Ovis aries: one gene and its partners. The protein of the gene in region 1 interacts with the protein of each later gene in a biochemical or structural test. Links are inferred from orthologs where the notes say so. Each region holds a gene or a part of one and is shown in the gene's direction. Other genes may lie near its edges. The genes, in order: CHAF1B, ASF1A and ASF1B.

What was found.
Region 2: the proteins of CHAF1B (region 1) and ASF1A form a complex in vitro, tested with the Homo sapiens proteins (2 studies listed by BioGRID and IntAct). The link is inferred for Ovis aries from reciprocal best matches to the Homo sapiens genes CHAF1B and ASF1A.
Region 3: the proteins of CHAF1B (region 1) and ASF1B form a complex in vitro, tested with the Homo sapiens proteins (2 studies listed by BioGRID and IntAct). The link is inferred for Ovis aries from reciprocal best matches to the Homo sapiens genes CHAF1B and ASF1B.

What each region holds. Positions count from the first base shown.
Region 1 is NC_056054.1:269,270,478-269,276,147, forward strand, and holds the start of CHAF1B (chromatin assembly factor 1 subunit B), read left to right. Parts: upstream 1-2,202; 5' UTR 2,203-2,288; intron 2,289-2,869; exon of another isoform or gene 2,870-2,963; 5' UTR 2,964-2,973; coding exon 2,974-3,099; intron 3,100-4,282; coding exon 4,283-4,415; intron 4,416-5,107; coding exon 5,108-5,225; intron 5,226-5,670. UniProt on the Homo sapiens protein: Acts as a component of the histone chaperone complex chromatin assembly factor 1 (CAF-1), which assembles histone octamers onto DNA during replication and repair.
Region 2 is NC_056061.1:19,404,055-19,409,646, reverse strand, and holds the start of ASF1A (histone chaperone ASF1A), read left to right. Parts: upstream 1-2,107; 5' UTR 2,108-2,337; coding exon 2,338-2,446; intron 2,447-3,604; exon of another isoform or gene 3,605-5,592. UniProt on the Homo sapiens protein: Histone chaperone that facilitates histone deposition and histone exchange and removal during nucleosome assembly and disassembly.
Region 3 is NC_056058.1:9,899,008-9,904,627, forward strand, and holds the start of ASF1B (histone chaperone ASF1B), read left to right. Parts: upstream 1-2,317; 5' UTR 2,318-2,437; coding exon 2,438-2,546; intron 2,547-5,620. UniProt on the Homo sapiens protein: Histone chaperone that facilitates histone deposition and histone exchange and removal during nucleosome assembly and disassembly. Cooperates with chromatin assembly factor 1 (CAF-1) to promote replication-dependent chromatin assembly.

The sequences.
Region 1 (5,670 bases):
CATTTCCCAGAGCTGTTCACTCCAAAACTCTATCACTTGAAACCCACTTTAAGTGTCTCCTCTTCAAACTTTCTTTGATCCTTCAAGTCTAAAGTAAGTTCACATTCAGGACTGTAAAAGCACATTGTTCCTTTCATGTTTCTTTTCACTGTGTTTTGCTGCTGCTTTTGTTCCGTTGCTAAGTCATGTCTGACTCTTTGCAACCCCATGGACTGCTGCCTGCCAGGCTTCCCTGTCCTTCACTATCTCCCAGAGTTTGCTCAGACTCATGTCCATTGAGTTGTTGATGCTGTCCAACCATTTCATCCTCTGTCACCCTCTTCTTTTGCCATCAATCTTTTCCAGCATCAGGGTCTTTTCCAATAAGTTGGCTCTGTGCATCAGGTGGTCAAAGTATTGAAACTTCAATTTCAGCATCAGTCTTTCCAATGACTATTCAGGACCCATTTCCTTTAGGATGGACTGATTTGATCTTGCAGTCCAAGGGACTCTCAAGAGTCTTCTCCAACCACAATTCAAAAACATCAATTCTTCGGTGCTCAGCCTTCTTTATGGTCCAACTCTCACATCCATACACAACTACTGGAAAAACCATATCTTTGACTATATGGACATTTGCTGGCAAAGTGATGTCTCTTCCTTTAAATATGCTGTCTAGGTTGGTCACAGATTTTCTTCCAAGGAGCAAGCGTCTTTTAATCATGCCTGTAGTCACTGTCCACAGTGATCTTGGAGACCAAGAAAATAAAATCTGTCATCGATTCCACTTTTTCCCCATCTATTTTGCCATGAAGTGATGGGACCAGATGCCATAATCTTTGTTTTTTGAACGTTGAATTTTAAGCCAGCTTTTCCACTCTCCTCTTTCATGTTCATCAAGAGACTCGTTAGTTCCTCTTCTCTTTCTGCCATTTGAGTGGTATCATCTGCACATCTGAGGTTGCTGATATTTCTCCCAGCAATCTTGATTTCAGCTTGTGATTCCTCCAGCCCAGCATTTCACATGATGTACTCTGCATATAAGTTAAATAAGCAGGGTGGCAATATACAACCTTGACATACTCCTTTTCACTTTTTAAATTATTATTTGGAAAAATGACAGGAGGCCTGAAGACCGTTTCTGTGGTTTATTTATTTTGAAACACTAGTGACCAAAAGGGCTTCGCTGGTGGCTCAGAGGTTAAAGTGTCTGCCTCCAATGCGGGAGACCCGGGTTCGATCCCTGGGTCGGGAAGATCCCCTGGAGAAGGAAATGGTAACCCACTCCAGTATTCTTGCCTGGAGAATCCCATGGATGGAGAAGCCTGGTAGGTTACAGTCTATGGGGTCGAAAAGAGTCAGACACGACTGAGCGACTTCACTATCTATCACTAGTGACCAAAACAGGTTACAGCTGTCAGATAGTCACTGCACTAGTGAAAGTCGTGGTAGTCTTGGGTGAGTCTCAGAGTTACAGTGTCCCCACCTGTCCTACAGAAGGGCCCTCCGTTTTCTTTTAGCAGACTGCAAATTCTCCTGAGAGTAAGTCTGCTTTTGAACTGTGGTGTTGGAGAAGACTCTTGAGAGTCCCTTGGACTGCAAGGAGATCCAACCAGTCCATCCTAAAGGAAATCAGTCCTGAATATTCATTGGAAGGACTGATGCTGAAGCTGAAACTCCAATACTTTGGCTACCTGATGCGAAGAACTGACTCATTGAAAAAGACCCTGATGCTGGGAAAGATTGAAGGCGGGAGGAGAGGGGACGACAGAGGATGAGATGGTTGGATAGCATCACCGACTCAATGGACATAAATTTGAGTAAGCTCCGGGAGTTGGTGATGGACAGGGTGGCCTGGCGGTGCGGCCGTCCATAGGGTCGCAAAAAGTCGGACACGACTGAGCTACTGAACTGAACTGAAGTCTGCGTCAGCTTCGCTCTCCACTGTGTATCCAGGTCCAGCATAGGGTCCAGCATATAGCAGATGCTCAGTAAATGTTTGCTAAATTAACAAGGGAAGAAGTGACTGGACTCCCTCATCGTTCCACCGATGCGTCGTTCCGCAGGGAAATAATAAACCGGCGGGAGCCAGCCGAGTCCAAGGGCGCTGGTCACGCCTCCGCGGAGGGGCGGGGCCTCTGTGGATCCCCGCCTACGAGGAGGGGGGGAAGTCTCTAGATCCCCGCCCACTCGGAGGCGGGGAGTCCCGAGGCCCCGCCCATCAGGAGGCGGGGCCTGCGGCGCGCGGGAAGCGGCGCGCGCGCGGCGGCGGGAGCTGGCGGCCCAGCGGCCTGAACGCATCCCTGCAGGTACTGCTTTTCCCGCGCGGCCACTCGCGTCCCCGCGCTTTCCCGGCCGGGCCTGGGTGAAGGGTGAGGAGCCGGGTGAGGTGGCGAGCGGCCCTCGTCGAGGGCCAGCCGCGAGGACCCGGGGGAGCTTAGGAGAAGCGCCCCCGGCGGCCTCCTCTCAGCCAGGTCTCAGGTCCGGTTCCGGCTTTCCCGGCTGCCCCCTTCCTCCCCGGCCTCGGTCGGCTTGCCGAGCAGCCCTTCCGCCGCGGCCCCTGCCCTCCCTCACCCCCGGTAGCCGTCTCCCCGGGGCGCCCACCCCCAGATACCCGGTCTCGCCCCCTCTCAGCTTGGCCTGGCCCGGCCCGGGCCTTGCTTTCCCCTCCCTGGGTGTCCGTCCCTCGTTGCTTTTCTGGACATACCCGGAGAATAAACTGAAAACAGCCGCGGACTCCGCGAACCACTTAAGGTGGAGCTGCGAGGGCTGCGTCAGAGGGCCGCACTGACATCCTCTCCCAGGGTCGGCAGGGCTCCTGGGCTCAGGCTTGAGCGTTCAGTGCCTGGTCCCTGGCTCGAAGATTGATCTCATCACCAACCATTTGCAGCTCTCTCTCCTCCGTCTTTGGAGAACCAACGGGGGCACCCCAACCCCCACCCCCACGCACCACCCCCTGAGGAACTGTGTTTCGCTCCTTGAAGACTCCGGAGGATGAAAGTCATCACTTGCGAGATCGCCTGGCACAACAAGGAGCCGGTGTACAGCCTGGACTTCCAGTATGGAGCCGCCGGGAGGATCCACCGGCTGGCCTCCGCGGGGGTGGACACGGCTGTCAGGGTAAGCGGGGCATGGGGAGTGGGAAGGGCCCTGGAAGCAACGTTGAAGTGGCATTCTCCCTCCACTCTTGTGTTTTTGTTTTTTGTTTTTTTTTTAGGTATACTGTTTCATTAACATTTAAACCAATTTTATGATAATGGAAATAAAACTATAATAGGCAGAGCTTTTAATGGAGCAACATATTGAACACGTCAGATTACACAGACAAAAGCCCCAGAATTGGAAGTAAAACCCACCATTGACTAAAACAGATGTCCTTGGTTGCTGACAGAATCTCCGACTTGAGTCAGTAATGAAGTGCAGGATCGGTAAACGCGAGCAGATATCGCAGATTCCAAGCCTTAGATGGTTTTCCCGAGCAGGGCACTCTTGTGTTTTTATAATGACTGTTAAACGCGGGGCTACCCAGCTGGCTGGCTCAGTGGTAAAGAATCTGCCAATGCCTGAGACGCAGGTTCAATCCCTGAGTCGGGAAGATCCCCCTGGAGGAGGAAATGGCAGCCCACTGCAGTATTTTTTTCCCCTGGGAAATCCCATGGACACAGGAGCCTGGGGTTGCAAAGAGTCGGACAGGACTGAGCACGCACACTGCAGGCAATCATCACAAATTATTGTACTAAGTTACCTAGCCCAGGGGCTTCCCAGGTGCACTAGCGGTAAAGAATCTGCTTGCCAGAGGCAGGAGGTGCCAGTTGGATCCCTGAGTGGGGAAGATCCCCTGGAAGAGGAAATGGCAAATCCACTCCAGTATTCTGGCCTGGAGAATCCCATGGACAGAGGAGCCTGGGGGTCTCAAAGAGTCGGACACAACTGAGTGACAAAGTGTATGTATATGTGTATTTAGCCCAGATGGATAAATTTTCAGGATCTTGAGTCAACAATGAGGCAATAGCGAGCAACTTTCTTCCTAGGGTCCTGTTACATAGACGGATGTCACTGGATGTGGTGATGTTATTATTTCAGAACCCTGAGCCAGTTTCCTCTAGGGGAAGAGTTTGCACAAGAAAGAGGTGGGAGGCAGTGGCACTGGAGGTTTATATTTCAGATAGGAATTACTTCCTCTTACGTTTCAAAAGAGAAACTAAGTTTTCTTTCTGAAAATCAGTGCAGGGTTGTTTTAGTAGGTGCAGTATGAAGCCTGCTCACTACATGTTTCTCTGAATGAGTGTTTTTGTATCAACAGATCTGGAAGGTAGAAAAAGGACCAGATGGAAAGGCCATCGTTGAATTTTTGTCCAATCTTGCTCGTCATACCAAAGCGGTCAATGTCGTACGTTTTTCTCCAAATGGGGAAATTTTAGCATCAGGAGGGGACGGTGAGTATTATACTTTGAATCTGTAGAAACCAGATACACACATGTCTCATAGCCAATACTGAGATTTGAGCTAGATATACTTTCTCATTTCAGAGGTCGCTTGACCCTCTGAATCTGTCATTTAGATAGTTTAGGGGAGTTATGGGGATATGTTATGGGGAGTATTTCATTCTTTTTTATAGCTAAGTAATATTCCGTTGCATTTATGTACCACATCTTCTTTATCCATTCTGTTGATGGACATTTAGGTTGCTTCCATGTCCTCGCTATTGTAAACAGTGCTGCAGTGAACGGTTTCTGTACTTTTGTATACATTTGAAAATTCCTATTATAGAGGGAATTCCCTGGTGGTCCAGTGGTTAGGACCCTGTGCTTCCACTGCTGGGGGCCCTGGTTCCATTGCTGGTCAGGAAATAAGATCCCATAAGCCACCCAGTATGCACCCCCCCAAAAAAACCCCCCAGATTTCCATTATAGAGCTTAAAATATCTGATACAGAAAAACACAATATAAGAACACAGTAAATTAGAAAGCTTTTGTTCAGAAGGGAAACTTGCTGTTCCTGCCCGAATTCTTAGAGGTAAATCCTCATGGCCATAGTGTCTGTAGATATTGTTTAATGTCCTAAAAATCCAGAAGTGAAGAAGCCACACAGGAAAGCGTGATTTGCGTTTAATCGACTCACTCTGCAGATGCTGTCATTCTGCTCTGGAAGGTGAATGATAACAAGGAGCCGGAACAGGTTGCTTTTCAGGATGAGGATGAGGCTCAGCTGAACAAGGAGAATTGGACTGTCGTAAAAACCCTGAGGTAACCTTGGGAGGGACCTGCAGAGGGGTTAGCTTTAGGACCTGAATGCATTCAGCTGATAGGCATTTAGACTTTCATATCTCACTTAAAACTTTTACTTGTGCAAGACAGTAATGCAGGCATAGTTTAAAACAGCGGCCCCCCAATATTTTTGGCACCAGGAACAGGTTTCGTGGAAGACAGTTTTTCCACAGACTGGGGGTGAGGGTTGATTTCTGGCTGATTCAAGTGCATTACATTTTTTGTGCACCTTATTTCTGTTGTTATTATTATTATATTATAATATATAATGAAATAATTATACAGTTGTCACTTGCTGCTCAGTGATAGAGTATGCAGGCAGTTGATTCATCATGGTCTCCTGAGGTCCTCCTCCCTGAGCCACTCCCCAGAGCTCACCTCATGGCCTGAGCTCCACCTCAGATCATCAGGCATTAAATTCTCA
Region 2 (5,592 bases), on another chromosome or scaffold:
ACTTCTCGGCCAACCCAGTAGTACTATCCAGGTAAATCTCAGTCTTGATGCTGAGAACAAATCTTACACACTTCACAATGACATCACCTATGAGCAGTGGACAGAGGAGCCTGGCAGGCTACAATCCACAGGGTCGCAAAGAGTCAGACATGACTAAAGCGACTTAGAACACGAGCAGATTAAAAGCGCACTTGATTTTTACCAAGCTTTTAAAGTCATTTTTATAAAGCAAATGGATTTCAATCTCCTCATAACGATGCCTGCAATAATGAGGAAACTGCATATATCCCAGTCTCAAGAGAACCTTGTTTTATGCTTCAAATGGCTATCGCCTATGTTCTGTGTGTCTTACAACTTACACTTCATCTGAGGCAGCCTTAGGCCCAGCACTAATAACAATGAACAGAGAATACAGTTTATCAGCCAACGTAATTTGCACCTGTCCCCACAGTATGACTGTTAAACTCTAATTTGTACAAATACCTGGGCTTGAGGAAACCCCTTCCAGTAGATCGTGGTATTTGCTAATCCATCCATGATACAATGGGATCCTCACCCTGAGTAGTTTCCCTAAATGTGGGAGGCCTGGGATTAACTGTCCCATTGCTGTTGTTCTATGGCTAAGTTGTGTGACTCTTTGTGACTTCATGGACTGCAGCATGCCAGGCCTCCCTAGCTGTCTCTTATTAACTTTCAAAAGACCATCAGATGCAGAAGTCTCATTAAAAGCAACCTGCAATGAACAGTGTCCAAAGAATGTTAACTGAAAAATTCTCAGCACCATACTAAGAGAAAACTTTCAGCATAGATGACACTTAAATAACTTTCTCTGAATTTAATTAACCAAGTGGTTTCATTCAAAATACCTGAAAAATGATGGTTTATGCAGCAGGGAAAAAAATCCCTTTATATTGCTCTTATTTAGAAAATAGAAACAGCTCAACAACCTTACACAAAATGTATTACAAGCTCTCCCTTTCCTACAAAGGTAGTCAAGAACAAACTGACGCTGAATGTCGAATAATCAAGTAAAGATTCCTCTGAACTTGCTCGTGGTGCCATACATTTTTACTTACTAACGGTTTAGGTCATGACTTTTTGGAAAATTGCACGTCTTGGTATGCTTTCGTGGTCTCTACTCGCCTTTTGCCTTTTCTGCTTGTATCTGTTGTCTTTACGGTCTTCTGATACTTGCATTTTCTCCTTTTTATGTTCCTGCTGTGTCCTCCGAACAGGAGAAACCGGGTATAAGTGATCCAACCTCAAGTCATCTTTTTATTCTAGACTTTCCAGACTGGAACGGGAGAAAGACGACCCTGGTGCAGCCCAAATACTACCTATTCCACAAAGTGTGGGTGGAAAAGCGTTTCCTCGCCCTTCATTTTGTATCTACTTAACTAACGGCGCTGTCGTGCCCAAACGTAGAGATTGGCCAAGAACTAGATTTCCAAAATGGCTTTGCTCCTTTTGAGCTGACATCAGTCTATAAAATGCAATTTACTTCCCCTGCAACCAACCTTCCCTCTAACCCAAATATTACCCAGTACACAGACAACTGAACCTAACCTAGTGTAGACAACGGATTCGCATCTCCTAAATTCAGTAGAGAGCCGACACAGCCGTCGGACTAATGTGAAGAGTCAGAAGGGGGAGTGGGGGAGACACAGAACAAACCCGTTACACAAACCCCAGAGGCGGGTGTCGCCAGGATCGCGCCCTCCCGTCGCCGTGCCCACGGCGAGCACGCCTTCCCGCCGTGGCCACGCCTCCTGCCGCCTCGCCGTGGCCACGCCTCCCTCGACCCCGCCCCGCTGCGGCCACGCCCGACGTGAGGCGCGGGAGCCGCCGGGCCGGGGGCGGGGCCTGCGCCGCCCCTCCCCCCGCCGCCGCCGCCGCCGCTGCCGCCGGCGGCCTCCGCGCGGGCCTCCCAGCCCGTATTCCACTCACTTTGTTCTCCGCCTTTGTCCTAATCCACACCAGCAGGTGGAGCCGCAGTTAAAGTTTCCGAGTCCATTCCGGGAGCGGGAGCCCATCTTGCTCGCCGCGGAGGCCCTCGCTGGAGGAGGAGGGTCAGAGCTCGGGTGCAGCCAATCGCGGGCAACGCTGCTAGTTATCAGAGCAGAATGGGCTGTAGTTTAGTGAAATAGGAAAGCTGCAAAACACTGTGGAGTGTTCCCGTGTAAATAAAAAGAGGAAAAAAAAGTTTCTCAAGTCGCCGCTGCACGACGTCGGGCCGGCGCCGGGGCGGGGGTCTGCGCTCTCCCGAGCGGCCGCGCGCTGGACTTTATTGTGCCGCAACGAGCCCCCCGTCCCCATTGTTTGTGTTTTTTTCAAAATATGGCAAAGGTTCAGGTGAACAATGTAGTGGTGCTGGATAACCCTTCTCCCTTCTACAACCCATTCCAGTTCGAGATCACCTTCGAGTGCATCGAGGACCTGTCTGAAGGTGAGTCGGGCGCCCGCCCGCCGCCGGGCTGTCAGTTGCGGGCTGCAGACGTTGAAAGTTTCCCGGGCCCGGCCTCACGCGGGCGGCCGGGGCTCGGCGCCGAGCGGGCTGCGGGCTCGGCTTTGCGGAGGGAAACTTGAAGTTGATGGACGACGGCCGGCCAGGCGCGCGCGGCGTTCGGCCGCCGCCGGGGCGCCTGCCGCGGCTCAACTTGCGAGGAACTTGTTCGAGCGGAGGTAGCCATGTTGTCAGCTTTGTCTGGCGGGCGGGCGCTTCGCGAGACCCGCACTCGCGCCCGCGGCGCCGGCCGGGGGTCGCGCCGGGCTGGCCCCGGGCACCCAACGGCCTCCGCGGCCCCGGCGAGGAGGTGGGAAGGCAGAGGCATGTGTGTGGTCGGCGCCGGCGAGTTCGCAGCGGAGCCATCTTACCGAGAGTAGAGAATTGGGCCACCGACCCCGGCGTCACGACGCCTCCTCTCCGCGGGTGACGAGCGCGGCGCCCCGCCTGCCCACCTTCCTGCCCCCGAGCAAGAGGCACGTCCATTTTTAGCGCTCACGCTGGAGTTACCGGACTCTCCGGGGTGGCCATGCCCGGCCGCTTCGGGGAGGGGAGCGAGGCTGTCCTCGCGCTGATTTCTGGTTCCGTGGACCAACCAGTGGGGGAGGCGGGCGCAGGCTCGGCCCCTCGGCGCCACGGGCCGGCGCTCTCCGGGGGCCGCGGGTGCTCCCGGGCCGGCGCTCCCCAGCCGGCACCCAGGATGCTCGGGGCGCCCGGGGATGCTGGCGCGCAGGCTCGCCCCGAGCAACGTGGGCTCCTCATCCTTGGTGACTGAAATCTAATCTTCTCTCTCTCAGGAAGAAACATATTGCTAAGCTAGCAAGTTACATTTAACCTGAGAGCAGAAATAAGTAAAATATTTAAATAATTTCCAGGACTTGATCACTGGCTTCTAAGTAGTCTGAAAGACTTCCTTCAAGAACGTGTTGAAATCTAATTACAGCAAGTCCACATCCAAATACCCTGAACATAAAACACAAAAGTGGGCTAGGAAATAAAGTCCTGATGGCAATGCAAAATTTAATTTTTTTTTTCTAAGTACGTTTTAAGGTCCTCAGAAAGACATATAGCATGTGCGGTAAGAAATTCAGAAAGCTAAAATTTGCCAAGGTCTTTCCGATTTTATTAAAACCATCCAGTGCTCCATTTTCAAAATTTCAAGGGGAAAAAAAAGTTTAACTTCATCGATGGTAATTTTACAGCTAAATAGGGGACAGGCTTTTTTTGAACTTACAATTATGTTTAGCAAAATTCATCTTAAATTATATGCTAATCAAGGCATGTAAAGCATTTTCACTTTAAAAATTATCCTTTAATCCCTGTATAATGTATTTTAGGTAGTGTGTAAACTATTTCAATTACAAAAACCAACATATGCTCATTGTAATAAACTTTTTAAAAGTTGTTCATACATATATAAAGTAACACTCCTCTGTACTCAATACCTTCCGCCAACATGTCACTCAAAAGTAACCATAATTACCACTTTAGTATGTGCTGTTCCATACACTGTAGTTTTACTACAAATATAAAGCACATATGCACATACGAAAGTAGGCACATTTTGAAAGACAATTCATTTATTAAACTAATTCTTAAATGGGCTGTTGCTAATAAAAATTAAAGGGGGTTTTCCTTATTACCGAACTTTGAAACTATTTGGTTACTAAAGTACTGCCATAAGCATTTCAGCCACTAGGCCCATTTTCATGCCCACTAGACATTTTTTTGGTTTTACTATCAACTGCATATAAAAATGGACAAATGCAAGAGAAATACAATAAATGAGTCCCTTCCAATTTATACTACAGTGTTTTAGGCATTAGAACTTCTTGAAATTACTGGTATTTCTCAAGTGATATCTTCCATTTTAGGAGCGAGTTCTCAACAAGGAAGTTAGATGATTCAGGATGTTGTTACAGGGCTTTGACAATGGATGGCTGAAACCTGCCATTGATGTGTTCTGTTTGTAATGGGATCTTTTCAGAACCAAGCTGAATCCTATCAATTTTTACAGTACTGATGTCAGGAATACACCTTACTTTGACTTGTCTACCTCACTTCCCAGGTACTTATACTGGGCATTTATTTAGTACTTTTTAGGAGTTTAAGCTGAGTCATACTGAAGCTGCAAAGGAATCTTTCAAAAAGGTGCCATGCTTATGTACTCCACCTAGAGGCTGTGTGGATTAAGGAAATAGAGTTTACTTAGTAAAGACTTCTTATAGTCCCATCTTTTATGCTGCTGCTACTAAGTCACTTCAGTCGTGTCCAACTCTGTGTGACCCCATAGACGGCAGCCCACCAGGCTCCCCCGTCCCTGGGATTCTCCAGGCAAGAACACTGGAGTGGGTTGCCATTTCCTTCTCCAGTGCATGAAAGTGAAAAGTGAAAGTGAAGTCACTCAGTCATGTCTAACTCTTAGTGACCCCGTGGACTGCAGCCAACCAGGCTCTTCCATCCATGGGATTTTCCAGGCAGGAGTACTGGAGTGGGGTGCCATTGCTACAGTTCTTTAAAATATTTGTTCTTGGAAGTGAAATATAGAATAGTCCAATGAGAAATTTTCACTGTATAATTTTGTTTCAAGTTCCAGAGCTTGGCCATCATTTTTCATACTTTAAATTGTCAATAGCCCTCACATATTTTGACTTTCCTTTAAAAGCTGCCCTGTAGCTTTGTTTCAGAAAAAGTCTGAGTACTTAAGAGAATTTAGTTGAAATCTACTGTAAGACCTATACAGGGGTAGGACAGCAATCCACAGATGTAAGGAGAGGCTCTCCTGTTAAGTCCAGGAGATAGGAGACCTTGGGTGTGTTTGGTCTGATGGTCACCAAGCCTGTACACATTTTCATTGACTTTACTGCTGACTTTGTTATACCTTCTGTGGACTGCTGATTTCTCTGCTTCTTTACTGAATGGAGCCTTTTTAAAAAATGTTGATCAATACTTAGAGCTGTCAGTTGAATACATACTTAAAACATAACTGAATGAAGCTTCATACTTTAAAACCTCAGGTTTGTACTAATTCACAAATACTACATACTTTCCCCTAGATCACAGGTCTTCCCAAATAGTGTAATTAGCTT
Region 3 (5,620 bases), on another chromosome or scaffold:
TGACAAGAGGGAGACTGGCAGATGAGGTCAGTTGAGGCCACTGTGCAGGGCCTCCTAAGCCACAGTGAAGATCTTAAGTTTCATCCTAAGTATGATAAGCCTTTGAAGGTTTTAAGCAGAGTAATGACATGATCTAGTTTACAACTGAAGATTATTCAGCCAGCTGTAGGGAGAAGGCATTATAGACAGAGACATAATACTTGTGACTGATGAACTTTTCAGGGGCTATGAAAAGGTTGGGGCTGAGAATGAAAGAAAAAAAGTTCCACAATGCAGAAAGAAAACTACAAAGTTGTAATGAGTAAAATGTTTAATATCTAGAAAACAAAATATAACAACTTCATCAAAGTTCATATGCATAAGCAATTGAATTACATTTGGAAATAATTTGAAAATTTGACCTTCTCAAGTCACAAAAATTCCTAAGGATGCCCAATGACTGCCAAGAACCCAGAGCCAATCATAATGGGAATTTTCTTGCAGCCAAATCGTTTCAATGAGGGGAAGAATCCTTTCAATCCTACTTGAGATGGAGATACAAAAAAAAAAAAAAAAAAAGAGAGAGAATATTCTGAGCATCACGAGGCCACAGAGGTGGATGGATAAGAAATCCTAGTGGCTTGAAATGTACCGTTCAGGCTTATGTTCCACGAATTTGAATGTTGTCCAGGGGGCTCTTGGATTCTCCGAAGAAATTTGAGCAGAGACTTGAATAACAAGGAGGCACCAGAAAAGAGGTGGGGGGTGTCATGTCAGATTTTATGAAACAAAAAGGTCAGTTTGGCTGAAGTTGGTTTTGGCTATCCAATATCGGAAGCCACAGGGGATGACAAGCACCTCAGTGTGGCTAGTGCCACTGTGAAACAGAACATTCCACGTCGCTTAACTTTCATTAATTAATATTTCAATTTATCACCGACATGAGATTGAGTTCATGGGAAATTTTAACGTATGTTGGGAAACACTTGGGCATGTGAATCTCCATTTCAACTGTAAATTTTATGAAACCTCAACTATTTCCGGTGAAAACCTAGCGTCCGGATCACAGCTGTGGTGTAACGTGTAAAATACACAGGTTTTCAAACCGTTAGTACTAGGTAACAAAATAAAGATACCTCAGGTTCGTGTTTGTTTTTTTTTAATACCGATCACATGTTGAAATGATATTCTGGCTATACTACATTAAGTTTAATATATTTATATATATATATGTAACGTGGCTACTATAGAAAAGTTTAAGATTAGGTTTGTTGACGCCCGTGGAAGCGGACTAAAGGAATGCGGCGGCCCCTCGAGTCTTCCAGACAGGGGGCGACGGTGGTCCCGCCTACGCCTGGGAGTGGAAAGAAGTTTCTAGATGTATTATGTAGTCATAAGTCAGGCCAGTAAAATTTCATCACCCCGTTCAATGAGCAGGGAAATGAGGCCTCGGGTGGTGCGTGGCAGAGGCCGGATTCGAAATCCCATTCAGCGCCGTCCACCTGAAACCTCCCCAGGGGCTCTCAAGTAAGAACCTGATTCGAACCAGGCCCGACTACCGGGTCCCGGGCCCCAGAGCGCCGCGTTAGCGCGGCACCGTCTGCGCTCAAGGGTGAGTTAAACGTTCACAACGTTCACAACGGACGCCCAGCCTGCCGGGTCTGCGGGGCCAGGAGCCCCTTAGAGAAACTTCCGGCAACGCTCACCTGCTGACAGATGCCGATGCCGCAAACGCTGCTCCTTTCTCTTCACACTCTGCTCAACCGCGTCAGCGGCCGACTTCCGCTCCACTTCCACGAATCCCCGGCCGCGTCTTCTCTTCTCCCGCCCCCGCAGCCAACTCAGCCAATCACCTCTCAGGAAACCTGCTTTATCTCCGCCCCATTTCTGCCTGCCAATCACTGCAAGTCCAGCACGTCCCTTCCTTCCCGCTTAAGCGAGCGCTGTGCGCCACCACTCGGCGGTTGACTGCGCTGCCCCCAGCTGGAAGAGTCTCCCGGAAAGGCGGGGCTAATCGCGGACCACGCTGGTGCGGGGACCCTAGGGATTGGCCAAGAAGAGCCAGGCGCTCTGACCCCGCCCACCCCTCCCTGGACGTCCGAGTCGGAGACTCTGGGGATTGGTTCCCCGCGGACACCAAAGAAGCCTAGAGACGGTCCCGCCTCCCTCGCTCATCCCTGAGATGGAGCTCCACGGATTGGTCTCGGGAGTCTCGGCGCGCGCCGACCGGCGCTCCAGGATTGGCTGAGGAAGCACTCGCGCAGTCGTGGAGCGTTGACGGTGATTGGCCGTAGGGTGAGAGCCGGCTATTTGAAGGAGGCGCGCGGACTAGATACGCACTTCAGATCGCGGTCAGAGGAGGCGGGAGCGGGTTTGGGCAGAGCTTCGCCGCTGACCCGACAGGACCCAGGCGCGGGCTCGGCCCCAGCTCTGGCCTCAGCCGTGACCCGACGAGGCGATGGCTAAAGTGTCAGTATTGAACGTGGCGGTGCTGGAGAATCCGAGCCCTTTCCACAGCCCTTTCCGGTTCGAGATCAGCTTTGAGTGCAATGAGGCCCTGGCAGACGGTGAGATTGGGCCCTTGTGGAGACCCCACTCCCCTGAGCTAACCCCGACCTCCCTTTGCAGACAACCCCGAGGCCAACCCTGCCAAACACACTTCCTCTCCCCCTCCCCCTCCCCCAACCGCGATCTCCCTTGAACCAAAGCCCGCCCACCAGCCCCAACCCCGCCCCTTGGAGACTACCCACCGCACCCCACCCCCATGGTTACTCCTCTTTTCCCCTCATGGAGACCACTTCATCCTCCTCTTTCTCCTGGGCGTTCCTCCTGAGCATCTGTTTTCTGTGTAGAGACCTCAGCCTCAGTTCTTTAACCTGCAGAGACCCTCAGCCTTCCCATCTTCCTTGTAGCAAGAAACCCCCCATCTTCTGTTTCTGTATGGACAGACTACCATTCCAGCCACCCAATCCTCCCCCACCAATCCCCTCTCCCCTGTGGTGAGACACTTCCACCTCACTCTTTTCCTGTGGAGATGTAAGCTCTAGCCCCCTCCCGTGTCCCATATGAAAACCGCAGCCTCCTCCCTCATTTTCCCTGTGAAGATCCTCGCCCTCTGGCAAGACCTCACACATCCTTATCTCCCCATTTGTCTCCCCATAATATCCCCTACCTGCTGATACTTAACCCCACCCTACCCCCCTTCAGCTTGTTTCCTACCTCAAAACACATACCCTAGAAACTGGCTTCCCTCCTTAGTCTGGCCCCAACCCTCTACTTCCTCAAGAGAGGCATGACCTGGCTTCCTGCTCCAGTGTTTGAGGATGATCTGGTCTCCCCAGCTCCTCTTCCTTCCTCTTCCCTGACTGTGGGCTTCAATGAACACACTCAGATCTGAGGAGTGGCATGGCCAGGCACACGTTAGCTGGTTCCTGCTGTTGGCCTGCTGGATTCCTGCTGACCCACTGCAGCAAAGCTTGCAACACTTTTGATGGCCTGACCTCGACTTGCGCGGTGTGGGGTGGGTGTGCCAGGCCGAGCCATGGTGATGTTTGGCTTCAATCTGGGAGGTCACAGCCTTTTGTGCACCTTTTCCAAGGTGCTTTCACAGATGTGCTTATTCATCCCTGTGACAAAAGGCGGACATGGCTCTCATCTCACAGATGAGAAGGCGGGAGACAGAGTAAAAGACCTTTCAAGTAAAGGCCTATAAAAACCAGAAAGGCTAAGGTTGTTCAGCGAGTCTTGGCACCACTTTCAGGAGGAAGTACTTCCATTAGATGTCTTCTCTACTTGGTGGTTAGAAGAGAAGAGGCAGCCTCTAAGGAGGTAGAGATCTGGAAGGCAAGGGTGTGCTAAACTAGTCGTTCTCAGTGGTTGGTGGGTGGTTTGCCTACAAATGGGCTTCTCCAACTAACATGGGGTTGAAGAGTTTTGATGTGTGCTTGGGTGGGGCCATTGGATCACTCCCTGCTTTCTCTCGTTTTTAAATCAAGGAGTCATTCTACTTATGACTAACTATAGAATATGCCCAGTTAAATCCTTTCTGGAACAAGGCGGGGTGTAAATAAATAAATAAAGTGTAGAATGACCCTGTGGAATAAGATTTAATTTTAAAGCCAGGAGATGTAAGGAGCTAATAGTTCAAGGGATTCATAGTTCCCAGATGGCAGGAGATCGGGTTTCAATCAGCCTGTTTGAGCTCCTGGCATTTAAAAATGGTTGCATGGTCATTATCTAGTACTTTCATTCCTGCAAAGCTACTGCCCTGTTACTTTATTAATCTGTTTATAGAATCAGGAGAGTCTAAAGTCAACCTGCTGGTCATTGTTTTTTATTTGTGTTATATTTTGTTTAAGATTTATTTATTTTTGGCTGAGCTAGATCTTCGGTGCTTTGCTCAGGCTTTCTCTAGTTGGGGTGAGCAGTGACTACTCTTCGTTGTGGTGCATTGGACTTCTTGCTGCGGTGGCTTCTCTTGTTGAGGGGCACAGGCTCTAGGTGAGCAGGCTTCAGTAATTGGAGCGCTCGGGAGTAGTTGCTCCACAGCATGTAAGGTCTTCCCGGACCAGGGATCAAACCCATGTCCCCTGCTTTGGCAGGTGGATTCTTAACCACTGGACCACCAGGGAAATCCCTAAAGACAGTTCTTTCTTTCCCCAAGGTCATTATTTTTCTAATGGAAACAAAATGATTTTTCCAAGGTCACACAGCTGGTGTGTAGAATTATTCACAACTAGGTCTTGTTTCTGAGTTCTGAGTCCAGGGTTCTTTATCTTTGCTATAAACTGGAAAAGAATGCACCCACTATTTTAGAAGTGAGACATAAACAGGACAGAAGAGGGCAACAGGGTCTTATTATTAATTATACCTGAACAATAAAGCTTTTGCTCAGAAGAATTCCAGTTGGAAAGCCAACTCTGGCCTGGAAGTCTACACTCTCTGGTTGTACCTGTAGGGCTGTGCTTCACTCTGACCTGTCAACATGCTTTCTGCCTCTTCCCACAGAGCAGAAAGGATTTGTCTCCTGCCTCCCAAACAAATGGAGTAGGCCTGGCTTTAGAAGTCTCTTAGATTCTGGAGAAATTCTCAGTCAGCCTTATTACCTGGTAACTGAAGATCTGAACACCCAGCCCCAACTCTGAGCCATTTCTCAAGGGCTCTGAAATGTTTTAACTCTCTCTCCCTCTCCCCGCTCAGCAGCATGTGGAAATAGATGCGTCCAAGGCCTGGGTCTGTATTCAATACATTGGGTGTGTTTTCCCCCAGTTTAGTTGAGAGATTCATGAGATACTGCCTGAACAAGTCTTAGAGCCAGATTTTCTGACCTACACCGAACACGCTGTGGTCAGGCCAAGGTTCAACTGTATTATGAACAAAGGGAAAGTGATAAACAGAAAAAGGCATACTAGATAAGTTGTTGGGGTTGGGGTTGTTTTGTTGTTTTTTTGATTGTTTGGGACTTGTGTGTGTGTGGCTACGATGGGTCTTCATTGCTGCACTTGGGCTTTCTCTAGTTGGGAGCAGGAGCTACTCTTCGTCATGGTGCTTGGGTGTCTCATTGCAGGAGGCTTCTCTTGTTGTGGAGCCTGGGCCCTAGGATGAGCAGACTTCAGTAGCTGTGGCACACGGGCTCAGTGGT